Nothobranchius furzeri: one gene and its partners. The main gene of each other region encodes a partner of the protein of the gene in region 4 in a complex. Links are inferred from orthologs where the notes say so. Each region holds a gene or a part of one and is shown on either strand. Other genes may lie near its edges.

Region 1 (3,500 bases), on a different chromosome or scaffold from region 4:
GCAGGACAGGTAGTCCTTAAAAGAGGAGACCACACATTTGCCTGTGGGCAGAATTGAGCTTAATTAAACTGTTGAAAGGATAAAATCTGTCATTTTAACTGAATCTGAGAAGCGGCACCCTACAGAGATCGTTTCACATCTGAGAAAACTCCCTTTAATTAGCTTTAAATGTCAGACCACTTCTTAACCTTATGCAACATTTAATGCTGGTTTTAATATACTAAGCCATCAAAAGGTTCCCAACACACACACACACACACACACACACACACACACACACACACACACACACACACACACACACACACACACACACACACACACACACACACACACACACACACACACACACACACACACACACACACACACACACACACACGTCATTATTTAATTAAAGAGAACGATTTAGTAATACCTATGACACAGGTCAGGGGCAAGGTCTCCTCCAGCTGACTCAGAAACACTTCTTTCTTGTAGAACATCTTTGTGGGTTCGTGCTCCGTTTCTTCAGGGTGAATGAAAATGGGTCCAAAGAAGAAGGTGGCTCCATTCTGGACCCACAGCTTCTCCATCCTGCAGAGCAACCAGAGGACGATCAAACCCAAAACAGCACCAGCACCGTTTTATTAAGTCCTCCTAACCCACCTGGCAACCCGAGGTTTGGACAGGCCGTGGGACCGGATGTAAACGAAGTCGCCCACTTTAAACCAGGAGCTGTTGAAGCGCAGCTGTTCATAGTGCTGGCAGCCAGGTTCTGACCCGCTCGTCTCCATCGGGACGTCTTCCTTCTCCTAAACGAATTCACATCACCACACAGGAGGAGTGTTTACATTTAGATACCCTCGAAACGTGCCACTCAGCTCTGTCAGGACTTGTATTCTACCAGATGATCATTTAATTAATACCCCGTAGTAATGGCAAAGTGACACCATTTGTCTTGAGCGATAAACCTCTAAGGATTGCAACTGTTAGTCTAGCAGTCCAGTTTTGCAGGACTTGTGGAGTTTAAGGTGCATCACCAGATACTTTTCTGGCTATTTGTGCAAGCTGCTCTTTGAATTAACACAACTCTGAGGTCCAACCCCCTTTCTCCCATCGGCCACGCCTCCAGAAGAAAAGAAGGCATAAGGTTCAGTTGGTCCATTTTCTGCCTTAATTCGTAGCATAACACACCTACATAACCATATACGACTACGTACGCTAGCTAAGTTAGTGTTGGGCAAAAAAAAAAAAGGAATTTTTAGCAATCTTGTTTGTTTTTAACTGTAAAATCACAGCAGCTCAGCGCCACAGACAGTCTGGGAAAACCTCAGAGGAGCAGCTTGATGGAAAGACCACGATCAAATCATGAAGAACAATGATTGGATGAGGATTTTCCAGGACCGTACCCTTCAGGGTAAATTAAAATGATTCATTTTTTGACAAAACGTTTAGATTATTAGTCGGCATTGGTGTGTGGAGCATTTCAAACAATATGGCTAAAGATGCTCCAGAAGAACATCTCCTGCTGCACCTCTGATAGTAGTTTATTTGTGACGTCTGGTATAATCCAACAAACAAAAAAATATTTTTTATTATCTTCAAGACTTCATTGAAAGTAAAAGTAGCTTAAGCTTGATTCCTATTGGATAAATACAAGTAAACAAAGACTAAAGGTCGATTAATCCATTTCTGTAAACATCAAACAGACCAACTATTATGTAACGTCACCTCACCTTGTCCACAAAACTGCCACCATCCGAGAATGAAAGCATCAACTTTTCCAGGTCCGGTTTGGCAAACATGGAAGCAACACGGACCACTGGAAGGGGAACCTCTCGCGGAACCATCTGCGCTGAACTCTCAGGCATGGCCCAGATCTTGATCTTCTTGAAGATCTTATTTCTGGCCGTGTAGCGTGACTCGCACACGAACACGTCCTCGGCTTTAAAACCTTCAGGCTGCATTCTGAAATAATCCTACAGAAACCAGAAAGAGGTTCGAATTCTCGTGTCTACAGAAAACAAGTCACTTACGTCGGGCGTTGAGTTTAAAGGAGAGTCTTGCCTTCACAAAAACCACAACACATCTGCCCAGAACTTTACTGAAGGACACTTTGTTGTAGTAGTCGCTCTTGAACACCTCCTTCTCCAGAAACTTGCGAGTGGCCAGGTGAAAAGTTTCACTGGGCCTGTAGAACCAGCAGCCATAGAGCCACTTCTCACCTTCAGACACACACAAAAAGTGATTTTATACAAAGCTTAAGACACAGATTTATAAGAGAGAAACAAACAGTTAACAGGTAAAGGCTCGGTTACCCGCTTCGTTCTCCCACAGACGCTCGATACAAACAATGTGAGGCTTCAGGTTGGGCTCCGACGGCTCCACATAAACGAAGTCTCCTACGTGGTAGGTGACGTTTTCAAAGCTGCAGACCTGCACGTAGACACGCTGAGACTCAGACTCAGGCTGCCACTCCTCTTCTGGCAACTCCTCTGCTTTCTTCTCTTCTAAAAGTGAGGAACGTGAAAGTTCAGCGACACGTGCGACACTCTCCACACCCAACGTTTTGTGCCAAATGTTTTCCAAACCTTTCTTCTCCTCCTCTAAATTCTTCTTATCCTCCTCGACCTCTCGGGGAATTTTCTCCCTCTTCTCCTGATCCACGTCGCTGTGCAGGTGCTTGACGGTGTAGTTGAGCGCGGAGGAGAGCAAAATCTCTCCGTTCTTACAAAGCTCGTCTCTGATCTTGATGAAAAACTGCTGAAGCTCCACAGCATCGTCAAACACCTCGGAGTCGGTCCTGCGAGCCCAGAGAAGACACAGAGGCACGTTTCACCGGCTCGCTTTGCAAGAGTTACGTTTTTCCAAGCTGATCTGGTAAATACATAAAGTATGTGATTATGTCGAAGCCTTACGCAATCACCACGTCTGCCTGCAGATCCTAATAGAGGTCGCTACCTTATTTTGGCGTCTAATTTGGCGTCGCTCAGAGACTTAGACCCGCTCCCGTGTATTTAAGACCCAGTTTTTATGGTTACGTGTAACAAAGCTGCCAGTATTTTCCAACATTTTGACGTATATTTCCAGAGATTAATGATAAAAACTACATATCGTCTCTTTAACTTTGTGCACTGTCAGTATTTATTATCCAGATGTTATTAGTGAACATACAACTGCATTTAAATTAAATGCTGTAGCAGCATCGGGCTGCCCGAAGATGTGCCTGATATATCAGGCCGATGTAAAGCCGATTCTATCGGTCTACCTTTAGATCCTATGACCAAAAACGTAGATAAACAAGCTGGAATACATCAAATAAAGGATTTTGTTATAATTAATGCACTATAAAAGTTTGGTAACCGTTTTCTGGATCCTATCAGCGAAACGACACTAAAGGCTGAGTTTGGATCTTCCTGTGTGTGAGCCAAGCTTCACTCGCTCTAGTGAAAATAAGACCGATTGTGGTAAGGTACTACAGTTTATAGCTATTCCATCTATCCTGTGTAAAATCTGTT
Region 2 (4,096 bases), on a different chromosome or scaffold from region 4:
AGCCCAGGCTCTGCAGTTTTGTTAAGAGGTGCAGCTTGATAGTTATTGATGCATAAATTGTGATGCTAAAACATTTCCAGCCCTCAGTTGGGGAATGCACAGGATCAAAGGGTTACATTTGTAACACGTTATTTCAAAGCAGTGGATCTACAGTAAAATTACAGTAGAACACACAAAGAACATATAATAAAATAAAAAATAAAGGAACATTCAAAGTATTTTTAAAATGTTGTTTTGTATGAAATGTACCTTTTGTAATAATCTTGGAACTGTCCTGGAATGAGAGCAACAGGATAAGGTCCTGTTCTGGTCAGCTCCGGAGCCAACACCTTGAATCTGCCTTGTGGCACCTGAATAATCTAGGATCAAAATAAGACATAAATCTTAAAACACAGCTGGTTAGCGCTGTGTCATTGTTGAATGTTTGATGTTGTATTTTACATGAGTCTGGAGGTCAAAGTACGCTCTCCGCTCCTCCATTCGCTCCCTGTTGAAGTTACTGTTGAACTCTGCAGCTTTTTTCGCTGCCTCCTTTATGTACTCAGGAACTTTACTTGCCTCCACCTTCTGAGGGTTCTGCTGCTGCATTTGCTAAAACATGACAGAAAACAATACAAGAATTAAGACCATTTTAAAAAATATTTATCAAAGCAACCATACCAGACATCCTGTTTATTCCTCACTTACAGAGTACTCTTTAGCTATTCTCTGTCGCTCCCTTTCCTGCAGAATGACTGAATACTCTGAGTGTTTGGTGGGATACTCTTTTATCATTAGATCGATCACTTCATCACTCCGCAGAGCTGTGAGGCCTGCAGACATGAATGCAGCAGGATAAAAAAATGAAGTGAGACTAAGTGTGCATGTAAAGTTAAGAGATATTATTCCTTACCCAGAGTGCATTGTGTCTCCGTGATGACATTCTGCTCACGAAGATAGAGCTTCTCCTTGTGGGACAAGTCTCTCCTTTCCATGTCTAAAAAAATCATAGATAAGAAATAAACTAAATCATAATAAAAAAAAATGAGTGCAGCTTCATAAAAATAGATCTAACATGGAGTCTGAGCCACTTTGCCCCTTGTTTATATAATCAAAAAGCACAATAGCTCCTCTACAACAGCTTATCACAAATATTATTTTGAAGTTTTACTTGAACAAATGCATTCATACAAAATCATTTTGAAAAAAGGAACAGAATTCCAGCTTGAACACAAGGATCCTCTCAGCCTCACCAGGATACTTCCTCTTGAATGACGTCACTCCCAGATACTCGCTGACCTGCTCCTGCAGCATGTAATATTCTCCTGTTTCATCAGCAGGCCACTTGTACTCCGTCAGGTTTTCTGCTGGGAAATATGTTGGCCTGAACAAAAAAAAAAATCCACTTTAGGAATAAAATTGCACATTCTAGAGTACAACACCTGGGAAAGTTTGACAAGTAAAGTGTGTTTTAAATTTAACAATATTGTGTAAAACATGACGGTAAAAACTAGATTAAAGCACCCTCTTACCCAAGCTCTTGATTGAAGGTATCGCAACTTCGAGAGCTGTCCCCCGAACCCATTCTCCTTCTCTTAGGTTGGCTGCCATCATTGGACACTTCCTCTATTACATCCTCCTAAAAACAGGAAAAAAGCTCTTCATTAAAATAAAAAAAAAAAACATGCTGAATGTTTTTATCTTTATCAAAAGTTCTAATTTATTTCAACTTTTGCTGCTTTTTACACATTTTCTGCCCAGTCATGTAACAGCAGAATAAGAGGTGATTAAATATTTAAAAAATTGTCAGGTTTCAAGAGATGTATACATCAGGTAAACTATTCCTGAAAGTCACAGTGCTTAAGAAATATAAATCTATCCTGGAAAAACCTGACAAAGGACCATGAAAGTAGTTGTTTACAAAAGACTTGAGTGTTTCCTCTGTACCCAAATCAGTGAAAATGAATGGAGGGCAACCAAAACCTGAAATGCAATACAGCTGCATCATCAACTTTAGAGGCATTAACCTCTAGAATAATAGGGTTCAAACCCTCTGGCTTGAGCATCACTTCTAAAAAATGAAAGTTTATAGAAACTACTGTACATATTAGACAAGACCATTTCCCTGACAAGGTAGGATTAAAAGACTCGTGTGTTGTTTGCCAGTTCAGGGTTACTTCATACATTTTTTATTTTAAATGAGCCACTGCAAAACATGATTTATGAGTGATATAATAATTCATTACCTGTAAACAACTCACGTGTACAAAACGTGTTATTTTAGGAAAAACAAGTATAAGTTTCATTAGATATAAAATAAAAGTAGAACTTAAAATAGAGAAATTAGCAAATAATGCATTTTGAGGTTACGTTTCGTTTTTATACGAGTCAAATTACACAGGCGACTTTTCAACAACTGAAAGGTAAATTGAATAAACTGAGCACACATGAAAACAAAGAATGGACGCTAATACGGCTAACGGGGTCATTCGTGGACACAGGCTGAAGCATGAAGCAGTTTAAGGAGTGTGAATGTCACCTTTAAAGATTGCGCTCCTGGGGTGGCAGGATTACTATCGCAAGGTGGTCTAATGGGGAGCACAGTAGCCATATTTCGACAAAATAATGTTCCGCAGCTAGGCTAGTTCACTAGCTTGAGTCTGCGTTTCTTCTTCTATGGTAAAGCCTTCGGTTTAGAAAGCGAACTCTCCTGGCCTGGATCGGTGATAGAGGTGAAAAACGTTTTACTTTTAAATACCAAATATTCCGATCATGTATTAAAATCATGTGAAATCGGTTTTGGTCCTTTAACGCAAGGTTATCACAGCAGAACAATTTTTAAAATAGTTGTCTAGCTGCAGTCAGCCAATCACAGTGACCACTACTGCCGCCTACTGGTCAATACTTGCACGTATAATCCTTCAAGTTGACAACAATAATAAGTAATATATCTGGTCACTAATTATTACAATGTGGATGTTTCTTATTTGTGATTATTTTTTACATCTATAATAAATCATGATTTTAACGTTTCTGGAGACTTAATAACAGCTCCATAGTGAGGCGAAAACTATATAGTGCATCACAGTGTCGGTCATGGAAGGACTTTTACTTTGAAAGGAAGAACCTACGGGAAGTCGGAAGGAAAAATCAGCTGGAATGCACGGAAATTATCACTGGTGTATTCCTTTACTGAGCTAGCTGTGCATCTGTCAACTTTTATTCCTCCCTTCATTTTGCTTTTGGAATCAAACCGCCACATTGGCGATGTCGGAGTCTTACGGTAAGGAGTCTGCTTTAAACCGAGGCAACAGTTAACGGGTGCCTTCTGGTAGTCAGTGGTAAAGACGAGGCAGGTGTGCCCAGAAGGCGTTTTCTCATCGCAAAAAGATAGCCGACAGGCTAACCGTTTCACCACTCAAGGCTTCTGGCCTTAAAGCAGAGCTGTCAGTCAACTCAGATCATACATCTGGGTTTGATGTAGCTTTTCACACTGAATGTAACGGAGCTTTTGGGATTCTAATCAGAAGAACCGCTAGATACCAGGTAGGGGTAAAGAGGAGGACAGGGCTGGCATAAATTTGAGGCTGAACTGTTCAACTTTTTAAATAAATAACCATTTAATGCTCTCTTTATGTGTATATTTTACATTTGGATCATTCTAAATCTCACAGTAAAATATTATTGCAGCATACAAAATGAGTTGTTTACACCATAAACACAATGAACAAACCTGTGGTTAGTAAGCAGGTGTCCCTGCCTTTATAAACAAACCATCAGGTATTCATGTGTAATATATATCAGCTGGTTTATATCTCAGTTATAAAATAATCTTGATTCAAATAAGATTAGGATTAAGATGAGCTAGTGCCTATGAATGCCACATTAAGAGGGTCAAGCTGAGCTTATGTCTATTAAATGATTGTATTGTTCCCCTTGTAGATTTCCTGTTTAAATTCCTGGTAATTGGGAATGCTGGGACAGGAAAATCCTGTCTGCTGCACCAGTTCATAGAGAAAAGATGTAAGTTCTCTATTATTTCCACTTCTTTCACATTTTTTTTTTTGTGATTGATCATCTAAATGCCTGGCTAATTATTCAGGTTGATCATTTATTG
Region 3 (3,500 bases), on a different chromosome or scaffold from region 4:
CCGCGTCTGTGAAACCTCGCTCCCTACAAGCTCAACTCCCGAATCCAGCTGACCTGTCTGACATTCGGTACTATATTGAATTATCATATGATCACATTCTCTTTTTGTTGGTAAAACTCAAGAAAAAAAATTTTTTTACTTGGTTTTTTTAGTTTTATTACAAAAAGTGCATTTTATGATGAAATTGATGAAAAAAAACAAGAATTTCTTGATATTTCGCATAGAAAAATACCGCGAATCAGTGAAAAATACCGCGAATCTGCGAATTCCCCCTGAAAAATGCTCCAAAGAAAAAATCCGCGAAGCAGCGAATCCGCGATGAACGAACCGCGAAGTAGCGAGGGATTACTGTATGGACAAAACCAGAGGTCATGGGACTTTGAAGAGAAGGGAGGATGGCTCTCCCGGAACAGGGCGGACCCGACGGTTCCACTGTGCCTAATTGTTATTGTTGTTGTATCTTTTGTACCTTAACAAAACTTTCAATAAAAAGAAAATATTAAAAAAATAAAATAAAAAATGAAAAAAAGAACTGATACCGATGTAATATCCTGCGGGAATGGAGTGGTGGCCAGTTAACGAGTGGGTACAGATCACAATGACGAGTAGTGAAAGGGGCACCAGTGACCAAACGGGTTGCTGAGTGATAAACGACGTCCAGTTTATGAAGAAGGTTTTTGGATGCAGTTCTATAAATGATGTCACCGTAATCTAAGATGGAAGGATTGTCATTTTGACCCAGGTTTGCTTTGCAGAATGAGTAAAGATGACCTGTTGCTATAGAAACCCCATTCTTGACTGTAGCAGAACCACGAACATGACAACAGCTTTAGCATAGGTGTAGGTGTGTGTGTGTGTGTGTGTGTGTGTGTGTGTGTGTGTGTGTGTGTGTGTCTGTATACGTGTGCGCGCGTGTACCTGATACTGTTTGAGGGTGCCGTTGATCAGGAGCGAGGACTGCCTCTCCACCCTCTCGATGACAGCATGGGCCACACCGTAGTAGGACTGGGAGCTGGTCTGCCCGGTGGGAACGCTGTACTCATCATCCACATCTTGTTTGGCTGTCCTGGAAGTTTGAGAGTTTAAATTTTAATTAGAATAATTTTAGCCCCAAAATAACTTTTTAATGAAAACGTTTCTCTAAACAGATGTAAGATAGTCTGATAATAAAAGGAAACTTAATTACTCGATGATATTTTTGGCCTCCTTCACGTTCCCTTCTTCTCCGTTGGGACCACGTTTCTTCTTCTCTTCCGTTTCTGCCTTGGCCATCTCATCTTCTTCCTTAAAGGTTAGAGGATAACAAATATCAAAGAGCATGGTAAAACCCAAGCACACGGGCGGGCTGCGCCCCCTGGTGGAGCATCATGTTCTCACACACAGCTGATGTAACGTGAGAAGAGCAGAGGTTACTAGAAAGTCACCAACCTCCTCCTCAAACTCCGAGCCACTCTCCTCGCTGTCGGATCGCGGGGCGACTTCATAACTATTGAAAAAATAAATAAAGGTCCAGTTATCCACAATCCAAACCTCACAGAACTACAAAACTATTTAAGATCATAATACAGATAATTATTTGCACCACTTAGTCTGGTAAAACTTCCTGGTTTCCAGAATAAAACATGCCAGGTGACCAACTCATGAGATGTCTTTGTTTCTGGGACGCCCCTCTGCGTCTGTAATCACCATCATTTGGACAGATTCCAGCTCTGTACCAGATCGGCTGCTTAACGGCATTTCGGGAATGTTATTGGGAGTAAAACTTCTATTCAGTTCAGTTTATTTCTAAAGCGCCAAATCACAACAAGAGTCGTCTCGAGGACCTTCACATAGTAAAAAATCCATCACAGGTCAGGTCATTAAGCCAACCGGTAACAAGTTTCCTACATAAGGAACCCAGCAGGTTGCATCGAGTCACTGACTAGTGTCAGAGTCTTTACAGCAATCCTCATACTAAGCAAGCATGCAGCGACAGTGGAGAGGAAAACTCCTTTTAACAGGAAGAAACCTCCAGAGACTCCTGGATCAGTATAAGCAGCCATCCTCCACGACTCACTGGGGATGGAGAAGACAGAGCGTGCGCGCATGCACGTGCGCACACACACACACACACACCATATATACCAAACATTTATATGGTTACATTGTGATTTGTTAGTAAATAATCTATTTGGTGAGAGATAAACTTTATTGTATTTATTATAGTGGATCTATAATTAAACGGGTAAACTGGTAGTAGCACATCCAACGTCAAAGAGAGTAAAATGTTATTATCAGGAGAGGGAGAATGTTTAAGTGGTTAAGCCACCACAGCTCAGCAGAGCATCATTGTAGCTTCTTCTGGGGAGAAAAACACTTAGAGAAAAAATAAAAGTTAACAGCTGAAATAGCAGAAAATAATACAGTTAAAGAGCAGATTGTAGTAGAAAGTAGTCGAGTGTGGAAAGTGGTCAGTGTATCCTCCAGCAGTCTAAGCCTATAGCAGCATAACTAGAGCTGCATGATGGCGCAGTGCTTAGCACTGTTGCCTCGCAGCAAGAAGGGTGCAGGTTCGAACCCGGCTGTGGTCTTTCTGCGTGGAGTTGTATGTTCTCCCCATGCATGCGTGGGTTTCCTACGGGTACTCCGGTTTCCCCCACAGATCACAACATGCCCTATAGGTTATACATTGTGAGTCGCTTTGGATAAAACCCACATAAATAAACATAAACTACAGAGATAACTCTGGATAACCTAGCCTTTTAGATTTGTTGTCCAGCAGAACCGGCTGTTAGGATGTGGATCACGAACCGCTGAACCTAAATGAAGTTGGACCAGCAGGACAACCGGAGACTCGCTGACCGACACATCCAAGACACAAACAGCATCAGTTCTGTCTCCTCACCCTGGATTCATCTCCAGCCAAGCCTCCAGCTGGCTGGATTTGGGTGCATCCGTCCCCTGCAGAACTTTCCCCGTCTCCGTCTGAATGACTTTGACTGGCAGCTCACTCATTTGGCTGCTTTCATCCATCAGCTGCAGAAAAACACACAACACACTTTCAGCTTTGAGAGCAGAACAGGCCTTCCTCCTACAACAGCTCGGCCTTTAACTGGTTTATTTCAGTTTTAAACGTCGCTGAAGCTGCAGATGGGGAAAACACAAAAAAGGAGGCAACAGTTAAACGGCCGAGTTTTAAAACGTCGATGTGATGATGTCACTTTGCTTTATTGAGTCACTCCTGCTGACGACAACAAGAAAAGGTCGAATAAAGTGTCCAAACAACTCAGATTGGTTTGAACTTTCATTAAAGGTTAAAAATCTCAGCACCACTTGTGTGTTTATCCATCTCTTCATTAGAATTGATCCATTTTCATCTGTTTATCCAGGGTCGGGGTGCGGGGGCAGCAGCCTAAGCAGAGAAGCCCCGACTTCCCTCTCCCCAGCCACTCGGGCCAGCTCCTCCGGGGAGATCCCAAGGCGTTCCCTGACCAGTTCAGAAAAATAGTCCCTCCACTGTG
Region 4 (3,304 bases):
TGACCTACTGGGGACCTTTTTGGCCTTTTTGTTGAATTTCTCAAGATCAATAGGATCAACGAAATTGAAATGTATTGATAAATAAATAGGCACACGCTGCCATCGACCCTCCCTCTGTCTAACACACACATTCACATACACACACACACACACACAGATCTACAGTGTATCATTTAAAGAAGAGCGAGAGGTAGATTCTCCATCAGAACAAGGGCAGGCTGGGAGTTTCGGCTCAGCACACAGAACCCTGAGGGTCTGTCCGGGCCTCTGGTCCCTCTAGCTCCCCCTAGTGTTTGATTTGGAGGAAAGGGAGGACCAGATTTTAAGGGGTTATCTTTTTTTGGTATACAAGAAAAGGCTACAGTGTCATTTACACAACAAAAAAAAAAAACAAACAAAAAAACAGCATTGTTACTGTAAAGAATGAGAAACAATATTTTCTGATGATTTCTGTCTCCTTGTTTGGTTTTCTGGCTACAGCCTCCCGTTTGCCCAACAGAGCAGAAACAGTGTTTATTACTAGATGAACCTCGCCGCTGCGCCCTGAGAGGAAGTCTGCATGTGTGTTTGTGATGTCTGGGTCACTTTTGCTGATAAACCCTGAGTGTGAGTGTGTGTGTGTGACGGAGGGTGACGTTTATGGCAGCTTTAATGGGCAAATGCTGAGTCGTCAAAAGGGGGGCAGAAATTCAGAGATGTGTGCTTTTGTGCGTCTGTGTGGGTCTTAGTTATCAGTGATTCGTCCACTTGGCTGTGCTGCGGGACCCACTGGAGCTGGAGGCAGCACCTCGGGCTGTGCAGGAGGAGGACCGGGGTCTGCAGGGACAGAGAGGCCAAATTTAGATGAAGGAAGACCAAAAGTGGTGGTTTGTGTTCAAAGGTTCAGAACTTTGGTGTGTGTGTGTGTGTGTGGGGGGGCTCTGTACTCACACATGCCGTTGGGGGCTCCAGAGTGACGCGGGGGCATCATGGGAGGCATCCCACCTGGAGGTGGGCCGGCGGAGGGGGGTCCAGGCATCATACGTCCAGGCATCTGCTGACCTGGTTCTACTGGTCCTGCAGTTTTGATTAAGAGACAAAGATCATGAAGAGACGGCTCAAATTAAGTAAAACATTTGCTTCATGTTTTAAATAAGCATTTATCAGTAGCTTTGCTTTAAGACAAATATTTACAAAGTTTTAGTCAAGATTTATTTGAACAAACAAAATTTTATTTAAAAAAAAACATGCTAATATCTCACAGCTACTTTTTTCTCCACAGACTTTATTCTGCTTAGTCTCACCCGTCTGTCCTGGGTGGTGGGGGGCCATAGGGTGGTGGCCCATTGGCGGATAGCCTGGGTGCATTGCAGCGCCTGGTGGGGGACCGCCGTGGTGCGGATGTGGACCTCCATGATGGGGAGGAGGTCCGCTGTGGTGGGGTGGGGGTCCTCCATGGTGTGAGGGAGGTCCTCCATGGTGGGGTGGGGGTACGCCGTGGTGCATACCTGGTGGAGGAGGGCCCGGGTGGGGTCCTGATCCAGGGACCTGTCCTTGTCCTTGGGCCTGAGCGGCAGCGGCAGCAGCTTGCTGCTCCATCTGCTGTCTGGCCTTCATCTCAGCGTACTTCAGCTGCTCCATGTGGAACGCCTGTCTCTCTGTGAGGAGCTGCTGCCTCTGAAGTTCCAACTGCACACACACACACACATTAATGGATGAAGAGGAGTTAAAGACCAGGAAGCAGAAACATTACAAAGACCACAACCAAATAACCCAGAGCTCAGTCAAAGCAGCATTCTTCAAGAACCAGGGGTTTAAAAAATCTGTGTGTGTGTTTGCGTGTGTGTGTGTGTGTATAATAAATTCATTCTGCTCCATTTTCACCACGCTGATGAAGCGGACACCTAAAGGCAACTGAAAGCTCAGACTTGTCCCGTGTTTCTTTGTGGATCCTTTCAGCCTGAGCGTTTACAGCAGCAGCCATGTTGGTTTCCGTCTTGCTCCGTGACAGATTCCTAAAACGTTTCTTTTCGAGCAGCTTTTGCAGCTGTGAATGGGCTGAATTAGGCTTCAGTCCAGATGCTGCCACAAGAAAACACAGTTTTACACTCTCACTAGCATCTCCAGGGACACACACACCAGCTAAATCAGGCTTTTCCCTGGCAGAGCAGCAGTTTAAACAGCATCACTAAGTAGCTGCTCAGCTGTAGATAAAACCCTTTTGGCTTCCTCATAAAGAATTCATGTTTCTTATAAAGACTTGGAGCTCATGGAAAGCAGCTCCACCACGAGGGAACATCTGCTACTGACTAAATATTTACCGGCCACTTGATCAATGAAGCAGTCGCAGGAAAGGGAAAGTTAGACGGCGGGTCACTTTTTGGCATTTCCACAGACAGAACCTAAAGGAACTAAGGTTTGGTTTTCCTAGGATCAGGATATTCTAACACTAACTAACGCTTTCCGATAATAACAGTAACGTCCCACAGATGTGGTCAAGCAGCTAAACAAAAAGGCAGAGCTGCTTCGATTCTAGTTAATCTCTCATTAGCTTGACTCATGTGGCTGATGATAATCGGATGATGTCTGGCAAAGGTGAAGCAGAAGAAGTGTTTGAGCTGCACTGCATTCATTCATGAACGTTTTAAAACTACAAACCTCTGATGATGCTACTAAAACAAACTCCGACTCAACTTACAGCTTCCTTCTCGCGGTCCATGATGGTCTCCAGCTCCTCGAAGTGCCTCAGCTTGATCTCCAGCTTCTTCATCTGGGTCTCCACCAGCAGAGCAACCAGCGACTTGATCTTTCTTTCCTCGACTGCTGCCAGGTGCTGAACAGAAGATTAACGTGAACATAAGCATCTCAGTAGCCCCTAATTTAACTCTGAACTGTTTTCAGTAGAAACTTCTCTGGAAAACAAACACGGATGAATGAAAAGTGACATCTCCTCACCTTGGCCTTGGTGGCGGCGGACGCAAGAGCAGCAGCCGCTGCCGTAGCGATGTTTCCCTCTCCGATGTCATGTTCCAGCTTTTTCCTCCTGTCCTCTCCCTCCTCCATAGCCTCACTTTCCTCCTTCTCCTTCTCCTGATCAGGAGAAGTCTTCATTGGTTCCTCTTTTTCCTTGTCTGAATAGGGAAGGAAACATTTTTAACCTGCTGTCAGAAGACAATCAAATATTTTTTTTCCTATTTTAACTGAAGTTTTAAAAGATGAATACAGAAAAACAAATCCCAGCACAAGCTGGGATTGTTTTGTAAAGATCACCATTACCTGCAGAAGCCGTTTTAGACTCCTCTCCTTCGCTCTCCTCTTCGTGCTC
Region 5 (3,500 bases), on a different chromosome or scaffold from region 4:
TTAGGAAGTACACATTATAGAACAATTAAAAATACTATTTTTGATTTTCTGCCACACAAGCCAATACCACGTCTGAAGCATTAAACAAGAGTCACCAGACAAGCTGAGACACGGCTTCCTAAAGACAGTTGGTTGTATCAGTCCCGGGCTTTATTTGAGGAGCGTTGTTTGAGTAAAACCAGACATTCCTGTTGGAACTGCTGCCCTCGTGAAGCATCTGAGCGCAGCGACCAGCCTCAACATGCACAGCTCCCTGATCCAAGCACACACCTCAATAGCTCAGTGCAATATAACGTATATGTAATGTAGGTTTCTGTTTCAGATATAGAAAATAACCAACATTTGCAAGTATATTTATTGTGAAAAACACCTCAAATGTAAAAAAAGATTTTTAAAAAAGCTTTTGAATCAAAAACATGCAAAACACGGAAGCTGTACAAAAGTACTTGTACTACACACTTCTCAAATTCAATTAATCAACTTCACAAAACACATTTTGGCACAAATACACGGAATGTTTCATAAGACTGCTTGTAAAAAAGCTTTTTCCCCATACACACACCATTTTTTTATCTGACACCACAGCTGCATTCCTGTTTATAATCAATAGCAAACCTCTACAAAGGCTGTGAAAATTCATTTTTGTGGTCCTCAAACAAAAAAGTAAATAAAAAAAACATGTAAACCTTCAACATATAAACAAGAGCTGCTAAAGATCAGAGGAACAAAGAAGGCTGTATAAAAACAGCTTCTCATAAATCACCACAGGCATGACGTATTTCCTGATTTGATGTTTTTATGTATTAAAAATATGACCTGAAAGTGTTTTAAGGGTTTATCTTAAAACTTACATAAAATATAGATTCAAACACTCTTCAAGGACATTTCAATAGGCATGTAGTACAACTACATATATATGGGATAAACTGATTAAGGATATTTTTTAGACATCAGGCACTGTCAACATTTAAATGTTACAACTTTTAGAAAATCACACAAAACATCAGCGTGGGAAAGCAGAATCCTTTACAGGACCAGTGTTCAAACAGTTTTCAGCATTTTGTACCGCGAGTAAAAAAAAAAAAGAATAAAAAAGACAAAAAAGTAAAAATGATTTGAAAAGGCTCCAAATGAAAAACCATCCAAGGCAAACACGTTACAAAAGGACACATAAATCATCACTTTGGTCCCATTAGTAAATAAGTATGGCTTAAGCTGCGATCATGGCTGTCTCTATTCCAGTTAAACAAAAGCAAACGCAGGCAAACTCCTCTGGAATCTGGCCTTTAGGTCAGTCGGATCCCCAAAACTTGCTCCAGCTCCTGCCTTCTCTGCTGCACCTGAAACGGAGAAGGAGTACCTCTGGTTCAGATACAGATGACTAAAATGTGCTGTTCTGAGCTCTGGGATCTGTCTTCACTTACTTTGGAGTAAACGTATCTGCCCACTGCTTCTGGGACCCAGGGCGCCTCGTAGAACTCGGTCCTCCTCTCCTCCTCTGGGTTTCCGCTCACGTCTGTCATCAGCTGATTCAACAGAAATGCAACAGTGAACACAACAACACCAACAAGATGCCCCAAACATGCCTTTCATTTTCTTATCTACAACTGCATCTTGCTGAGATGTTGCTTAAGGCTCAGGAGGTTTGTAAAGCTACAGGAACACAGAACAAAGCTGTGGCTTCTGAACGAACCATGAACCATGTCAGGTGAGGGAGGACAGCTTTGACTTCTTAAACAAATTTAAAAAAAACAAGGTGGGGTGAAATCTGTGTTGACAGGAACCCAGACATGTAGATCCTTCTGATCTGATCATTTCTAACTGCTGGCTGGAACATTTATCTTTAGACGTGTTTCGGCTCGCTTTAGGAGATCAACCCTCCACCACCTGCAGCAGAATGCTTCCTGATTAGCTCTCTGAGCACATGCCGGCAACAAGGTGCATCCGTTTACTGGCTAAATATGTTAGAATGAGTTCTGTGCTATTGTGTCACATTATATAATGTAAACAAACGTAAGAATGCTGTAATCCCCATAATGAATATCACCTTAAGCAACATTTAATGATGAGTAAACACTGCAGATTCCAGTGGGACAGATTTGAACTCTTATGGCGAAGGAGTAAAAAAACAAACCCAATAAAACCTGACTTCCAGGTTAAGGAGAATGTTCAGAAAACTAAAATATTTTTGCCGTCTAAGCCGTAAAGGAAATCTAAACGAGTCAAGATCTAAACACTTGATTTAATCAGATAAAAAAAAACATAGGAACTTCATTTTACCCTGTCTCTGCTATTTAACTCAACTTCATTTCATTTTATTTAGTTTGTCCTGAAATGAGGGACTAAAATAAGACAAAAGAGTCACGATAACATGGTAGTTGCAGCAGACATTTCTTTACCTTCAGATCTCTGCTCTGAGACTTCAGCCAGTCTTTGATGAACTCTTGTGGATTATTGCTGAAGCTCAGCATGAAGTCTCTCTCAGTCTTGAGCTGGTTGATGTACTCAATTGTTTCATGAATCTGAACATAAACAACAAAGGAAGACGTTTCAGGTTTCTACAGGCTCGTTTCATTTTAGTATGAATCCAGATTAGACCCGACCTTCATCTCAAGAGTAGCGATTTCCTGTTGGTTGGTGGTGGAGGACAGAAAACTGTTCATCTGAGCTTTCAGAGGGTCGTCCACCTCCACGTCAATATCATAGCAGGCTGTTTTCTTCTGGTCTGTGGGATCCACGCTGCTCAGGGAACAAAGGAGTTGGTGGTGACTACAGGACGGGTTTATACCTTATCTCAGCTCAGAACCAAATAGAAAGTGTTTCTAAGGTTCTACGTACATCTGTGTTTATTAACTGTAGGAGCAGCTATGAACCTTATTCACCAAGTGTGGTGACACTGTGTGTCTGAAAGCAGAGATTGTCTGAAGCTGTAAGATGAGACCCTACCTGATGATGTGGTTGATAATAATAGGGTCAGGATGCTGCAGCAGGCCCGCCAGCTTCATGGGGATCTCACTGAACCTCATGCGTGGACAGCTGAAGATCTGAACACAATTTTATTAAACCGCATTAGCACTTAAGACAGGTGATGTTAAAAAACACTGATAACTAATCCATCAGAGTTCATATCCAGCCCTCTAAAGCTAAGACCAGGACTACATGAGTCCTGTTTCCATTTTAGGAGTTTAGGGGACGGGGAGAGCAGCTGTGTGAAGTAAAAAGTGCCGTTCAATGACCAGAAGAAGCTGTTTTTGACAAAGCAGTGTGGATAATGGCGTTGTGGGGGATTTCCACTGCATTATATGCGTTGAACCTTCAGAAACTGCAATTTCAAAGCAGCATTAATGCTGTTTGCTTTCTTTCACTTCCACTCATCTTCACCAACAACTCTTCCCATTTTTGAAAAGGCCAGTTATTTGGCGAATACAACCAATCAGCGTGAGTTAAAAACAAGCCCGCTCAGCGGCTCTACCAGCCGAGTACCTACCCCAGCTCAGGTA
Region 6 (3,500 bases), on a different chromosome or scaffold from region 4:
GTTACCAAGTTTAAATAAACCAAAAACACCCGGCAGCAAACAGACCAGCATGGAGGAGAGACTGCTACCACCAAAACAGCTCTCCTCGTGTCTGAAAGAAGCTCCTTAATGAAGGGAGAAGCGCTCCCGGTGATTTTCTACATCTGCGGTAGACACGAAGCAGCGCATCTGACCCCGGAAGTTGTTGTCCGTTGCCGGGAGACGAAGGGGCAAAACAGGAAAATAATCTAGTAGTGGACGGACGTTGTTCCGGGTCTTCGGTATTTGGCGGAGATGTTAGTGAAGGCGGAGAAGAGGGCGAACTAGAGGAAAAACAGGCAGATTCCTCCTCTATTTACAAACTCCTGGGGATGCAACAAGTGGGCGCGGTGCGTCGACTTCCGGATCTGACGTCGACAAATTTTTAGAATCGAGCCGTCGACTTCGTCGAGGCTTCGCTACAGCCCTAACTGAAGTAGGACCTCATGTTTTATAAAATACCACCAAACTTCCAAGAAACAACATCATCTGACAGTGGATACAAAACTGTTCCAGCAAATATCTACAAAAAAGAACAGAACAGCTAAAGGCTGGTGGCCGAGGTCCTCACCTTGTTATCCAATCCTGCTATTTCCTGCTGACTAGCAGTAGAGAGCAGGAAGGAGTTCATCTGTGTTTTCAGGGTGTCATCCACCTCCACATCAATGTCATAGCAAGCAGTCTTTTTCTGGTCATTGGGGTCCACGCTAGTGAAATGAAAAGCATCGTTGTGTGCTTGAATTTAACATTTATTCAAGTACTTAAGAGTCGATTTTAAGTATTGAAGATTAATTGTCAAAGCTGCAGAAATAAAATATAAGGGTCATTTAGAGGCAGTGCTGACACTTGACTCTACCCGAAACCAGCGCAATAATTACCTGATCACGTGGTTAATGATGATTGGTTCTGGAGGCATCAGCAGTGCGTGCAATCGCTGAGGGATTTCAGAAAACTTCATCCGCTGGGTCTCAAAAATCTGTGACATCAAAGAATGATGTGGTTTTAGTTTGAATAAATTGCTCTTTTGAAACTGAACACGATGGACTGTGTTTTTTTAGAAGTGTAAAACTAATCAGCAAATCAACACGCAGAACATATCCATTTCCTCTGGACGTAGCTTCTTGAGTTTGTTTATAAACTGGTTTAAATGCTTTATTCTCCCTTTTGTACATCCCTGATCACAACAGTGCAACTGCATCAACAATCTGAGGTTTCATAAAAGCAATCCTTAGTTCACAAGTAAACTTTGTATGAATTCAACAATCTTCTGTTGCTCTTGGCAGGGAAAAGAAAACAGAAGCTCAGAGAAACCAGACAGAGATTCATGAAGAGATTGAGCCACCGTACAAGGACACAGAGAGGGAGACAGAGCGAGAGACAAAGAGATTGGGGACACACACACACACGCGCGCGCGCGCACGCACGCACGCACACACACACACACACACCACACACACACACCACACACACACACACACACACACACACACACACACACACACACACACACACACACACACACAAGACAGAGAGTGAGAGATGGGGAGAGAAAGAGAGAGAGAGTGTTGAATATCAGGAGCAGAAAAGAAACAGGACAGGTCTGGTTGTTGAGGCTAGTTTATGCTGAAACCTTCAGAAATATCATGTTTGTTGTGTTTCATGACAGAAACATTTAATTGTTTTATCTTATTTCTCGAGTGAGCAAAGCCACAACTCACCTGCTGCAGGTATTTGTCACAGTTGATAAACTCGCGCTCGTGTGGGTCTTGGAGTTTGTGTGTTTTGACATACTGCCACAGGGCCTGAATGATGACAGGCCTGGTCTGGGTGTGGATCCCCAGCATGCGGGCCAGTCGGGGGTCCAGTTTAAACTGAGGGGGCTGAAATGATGAAGAAATATATCTCAAGTCAATCAGGCTCCTTGATGAATTCAGACACAATTTAAAAACAACATTCACCCCTCAGAGTGTTACCTGGTAATCAAGCATGAGAAGGACGGTGCAGCGAACACCCACATCCCCAGGCCTCTTCACCTGGAAACCATCAGTCTCCTGGGTGGTGGCAGTTCTATGCCACTGAAATACAAACAAAGCATTTAAAGAAACCAGGTTCATGTAACAACATCATTACATACATCTTAAAATTAGCAGATTAGAAAATGACAATTTTTTTTTGGATAGACGAGAAAGCCTCTAACTTCTACAAGGTGATTATCTGGTCCATAAAGGTCTTTGTCCAACTCGATCACAAGAGACTTGAAGAAAGATGAGAACTTTCGTTTTTGTTTGGTGGCTTCATACTTGGACACGGCTGTCTGCAAAACAACAAACACACATTTAATCTTTCACAGCTTGAAACTTAGTCCTAGATAAACCAAATGACTGCCTTGTGAGTCACTCTGTTAAAAAGAAAAGCCCCAGTGATCCTGTTTCAGGAAGTAGAAGTTAATCAGAGGAGTTGAGGGTCAGAAAATGACATATGGATATGGAGGCTTACTTGTTAATATTCATGATATTTGGACATCTCGCCTCTGATTGGTTTATAGCAACGCAACTCTTCCACTGACTGTTAGCTCAGAAAACTTGGATGTTTTACCTCCACAAATAACACAAGAGTAACCCGAAGATGTTCTGTTGTGGAGTTGCTAATGCTAATAGTTAGCCTGAGACGTGCTCTGCTCTCTCCTGGATGCTAAATAAACAACAGCCAAGAAGGGTGAGTCCATGAATGCTAAATTAGTGTGACGCTGATCTGAGTGTTTTATTCTGACCAGAGTGTTTCCCGGTCTATTTTCCAACAGCGGCTAATGAAAGAAATAAGGCCAGCAGTCTATTTTCACATCCAGCCATCACTCAGAGGGACTGATCATATTTAAAAAATAACATAAAAACAGTTTCACAGTAAAAAATAGAAATGATAAGAATCTAAAATGTGCAGCTTACATCTTCCAAGAGCCGCCCTTCAACACGCAGCTCCCATGATGCAACGGTTCCCTCTCCGTCCTCAGCATCAGGCTTTGCAGGGTTGAAGGTGTTGGATATAAAGATCCTAAGCTTTCTTTTTTGCTGAAAATAAGCATAAAAACAAAAAATCTTTACACTAATATAAACTACTATAGCTCACAATCAGCAGTGACACACAGTTGTTTTAAGAACAAACAAAGATGTTGCAGCTTCATTAAAAACGTGTGTTTTACTGTGCAGAATTCAGTGTTTACTATTGAGTTCACTTAAAACGTCTGTTGGGGAGACTCGACGGCCTCACGACGAGACAAACATCGTTTTGTTCACAGCAACAATAAACGAGTAAACAAGCAAAGGCAACATCTCATAACTATGACACCGAAACTAATTTAGCATACAGATCACAGTGAAAAAAATAAAAACTCACCATACAATCTGACATGTAAACAAGTTTAATGAACGTCTTATTTGATGACCAAGATTGAAGAGGTTTTTAAGTCAAGTTAATGTATGAAAAAG

Evidence for each region.
Region 1: smarcc1a (region 4) and pbrm1l share a complex: the UniProt entries of both Homo sapiens proteins name them as parts of the SWI/SNF-B (PBAF) chromatin remodeling complex. The link is inferred for Nothobranchius furzeri from reciprocal best matches to the Homo sapiens genes SMARCC1 and PBRM1.
Region 2: smarcc1a (region 4) and phf10 share a complex: the UniProt entries of both Homo sapiens proteins name them as parts of the neural progenitors-specific chromatin remodeling complex. The link is inferred for Nothobranchius furzeri from reciprocal best matches to the Homo sapiens genes SMARCC1 and PHF10.
Region 3: smarcc1a (region 4) and smarca2 share a complex: the UniProt entries of both Homo sapiens proteins name them as parts of the BAF complex. The link is inferred for Nothobranchius furzeri from reciprocal best matches to the Homo sapiens genes SMARCC1 and SMARCA2.
Region 5: smarcc1a (region 4) and smarcd2 share a complex: the UniProt entries of both Homo sapiens proteins name them as parts of the BAF complex. The link is inferred for Nothobranchius furzeri from reciprocal best matches to the Homo sapiens genes SMARCC1 and SMARCD2.
Region 6: smarcc1a (region 4) and smarcd1 share a complex: the UniProt entries of both Homo sapiens proteins name them as parts of the BAF complex. The link is inferred for Nothobranchius furzeri from reciprocal best matches to the Homo sapiens genes SMARCC1 and SMARCD1.

The regions. Positions count from the first base shown.
Region 1 is NC_091743.1:66,062,332-66,065,831, forward strand, and holds part of pbrm1l (polybromo 1, like), read right to left. Parts: intron 2,786-3,500; coding exon 2,574-2,785; intron 2,493-2,573; coding exon 2,301-2,492; intron 2,208-2,300; coding exon 2,050-2,207; intron 1,962-2,049; coding exon 1,719-1,961; intron 795-1,718; coding exon 649-794; intron 577-648; coding exon 419-576; intron 42-418; coding exon 1-41. UniProt on the Homo sapiens protein: Involved in transcriptional activation and repression of select genes by chromatin remodeling (alteration of DNA-nucleosome topology). Required for the stability of the SWI/SNF chromatin remodeling complex SWI/SNF-B (PBAF).
Region 2 is NC_091749.1:34,751,047-34,755,142, forward strand, and holds the start of phf10 (PHD finger protein 10), read right to left. Parts: upstream 2,801-4,096; 5' UTR 2,591-2,800; coding exon 2,519-2,590; intron 1,619-2,518; coding exon 1,512-1,618; intron 1,364-1,511; coding exon 1,233-1,363; intron 977-1,232; coding exon 893-976; intron 813-892; coding exon 688-812; intron 592-687; coding exon 442-591; intron 360-441; coding exon 250-359; intron 1-249. Other genes in the region: rab4a (ras-related protein Rab-4A), read left to right, coding at 3,247-3,262, 3,922-4,002. UniProt on the Homo sapiens protein: Involved in transcription activity regulation by chromatin remodeling. Belongs to the neural progenitors-specific chromatin remodeling complex (npBAF complex) and is required for the proliferation of neural progenitors.
Region 3 is NC_091750.1:37,848,340-37,851,839, reverse strand, and holds part of smarca2 (probable global transcription activator SNF2L2), read right to left. Parts: intron 3,016-3,500; coding exon 2,885-3,015; intron 1,487-2,884; coding exon 1,429-1,486; intron 1,285-1,428; coding exon 1,187-1,284; intron 1,067-1,186; coding exon 919-1,066; intron 1-918. UniProt on the Homo sapiens protein: ATPase involved in transcriptional activation and repression of select genes by chromatin remodeling (alteration of DNA-nucleosome topology).
Region 4 is NC_091745.1:65,024,658-65,027,961, reverse strand, and holds the end of smarcc1a (SWI/SNF complex subunit SMARCC1), read right to left. Parts: coding exon 3,256-3,304; intron 3,111-3,255; coding exon 2,935-3,110; intron 2,813-2,934; coding exon 2,678-2,812; intron 1,669-2,677; coding exon 1,284-1,668; intron 1,057-1,283; coding exon 931-1,056; intron 817-930; coding exon 725-816; 3' UTR 501-724; downstream 1-500. UniProt on the Homo sapiens protein: Involved in transcriptional activation and repression of select genes by chromatin remodeling (alteration of DNA-nucleosome topology).
Region 5 is NC_091756.1:35,532,469-35,535,968, reverse strand, and holds the end of smarcd2 (SWI/SNF-related matrix-associated actin-dependent regulator of chromatin subfamily D member 2), read right to left. Parts: intron 3,045-3,500; coding exon 2,947-3,044; intron 2,740-2,946; coding exon 2,604-2,739; intron 2,523-2,603; coding exon 2,400-2,522; intron 1,527-2,399; coding exon 1,425-1,526; intron 1,341-1,424; coding exon 1,287-1,340; 3' UTR 284-1,286; downstream 1-283. UniProt on the Homo sapiens protein: Involved in transcriptional activation and repression of select genes by chromatin remodeling (alteration of DNA-nucleosome topology).
Region 6 is NC_091743.1:58,849,879-58,853,378, forward strand, and holds part of smarcd1 (SWI/SNF-related matrix-associated actin-dependent regulator of chromatin subfamily D member 1), read right to left. Parts: intron 3,084-3,500; coding exon 2,961-3,083; intron 2,333-2,960; coding exon 2,216-2,332; intron 2,094-2,215; coding exon 1,992-2,093; intron 1,899-1,991; coding exon 1,737-1,898; intron 995-1,736; coding exon 897-994; intron 726-896; coding exon 590-725; intron 1-589. UniProt on the Homo sapiens protein: Involved in transcriptional activation and repression of select genes by chromatin remodeling (alteration of DNA-nucleosome topology).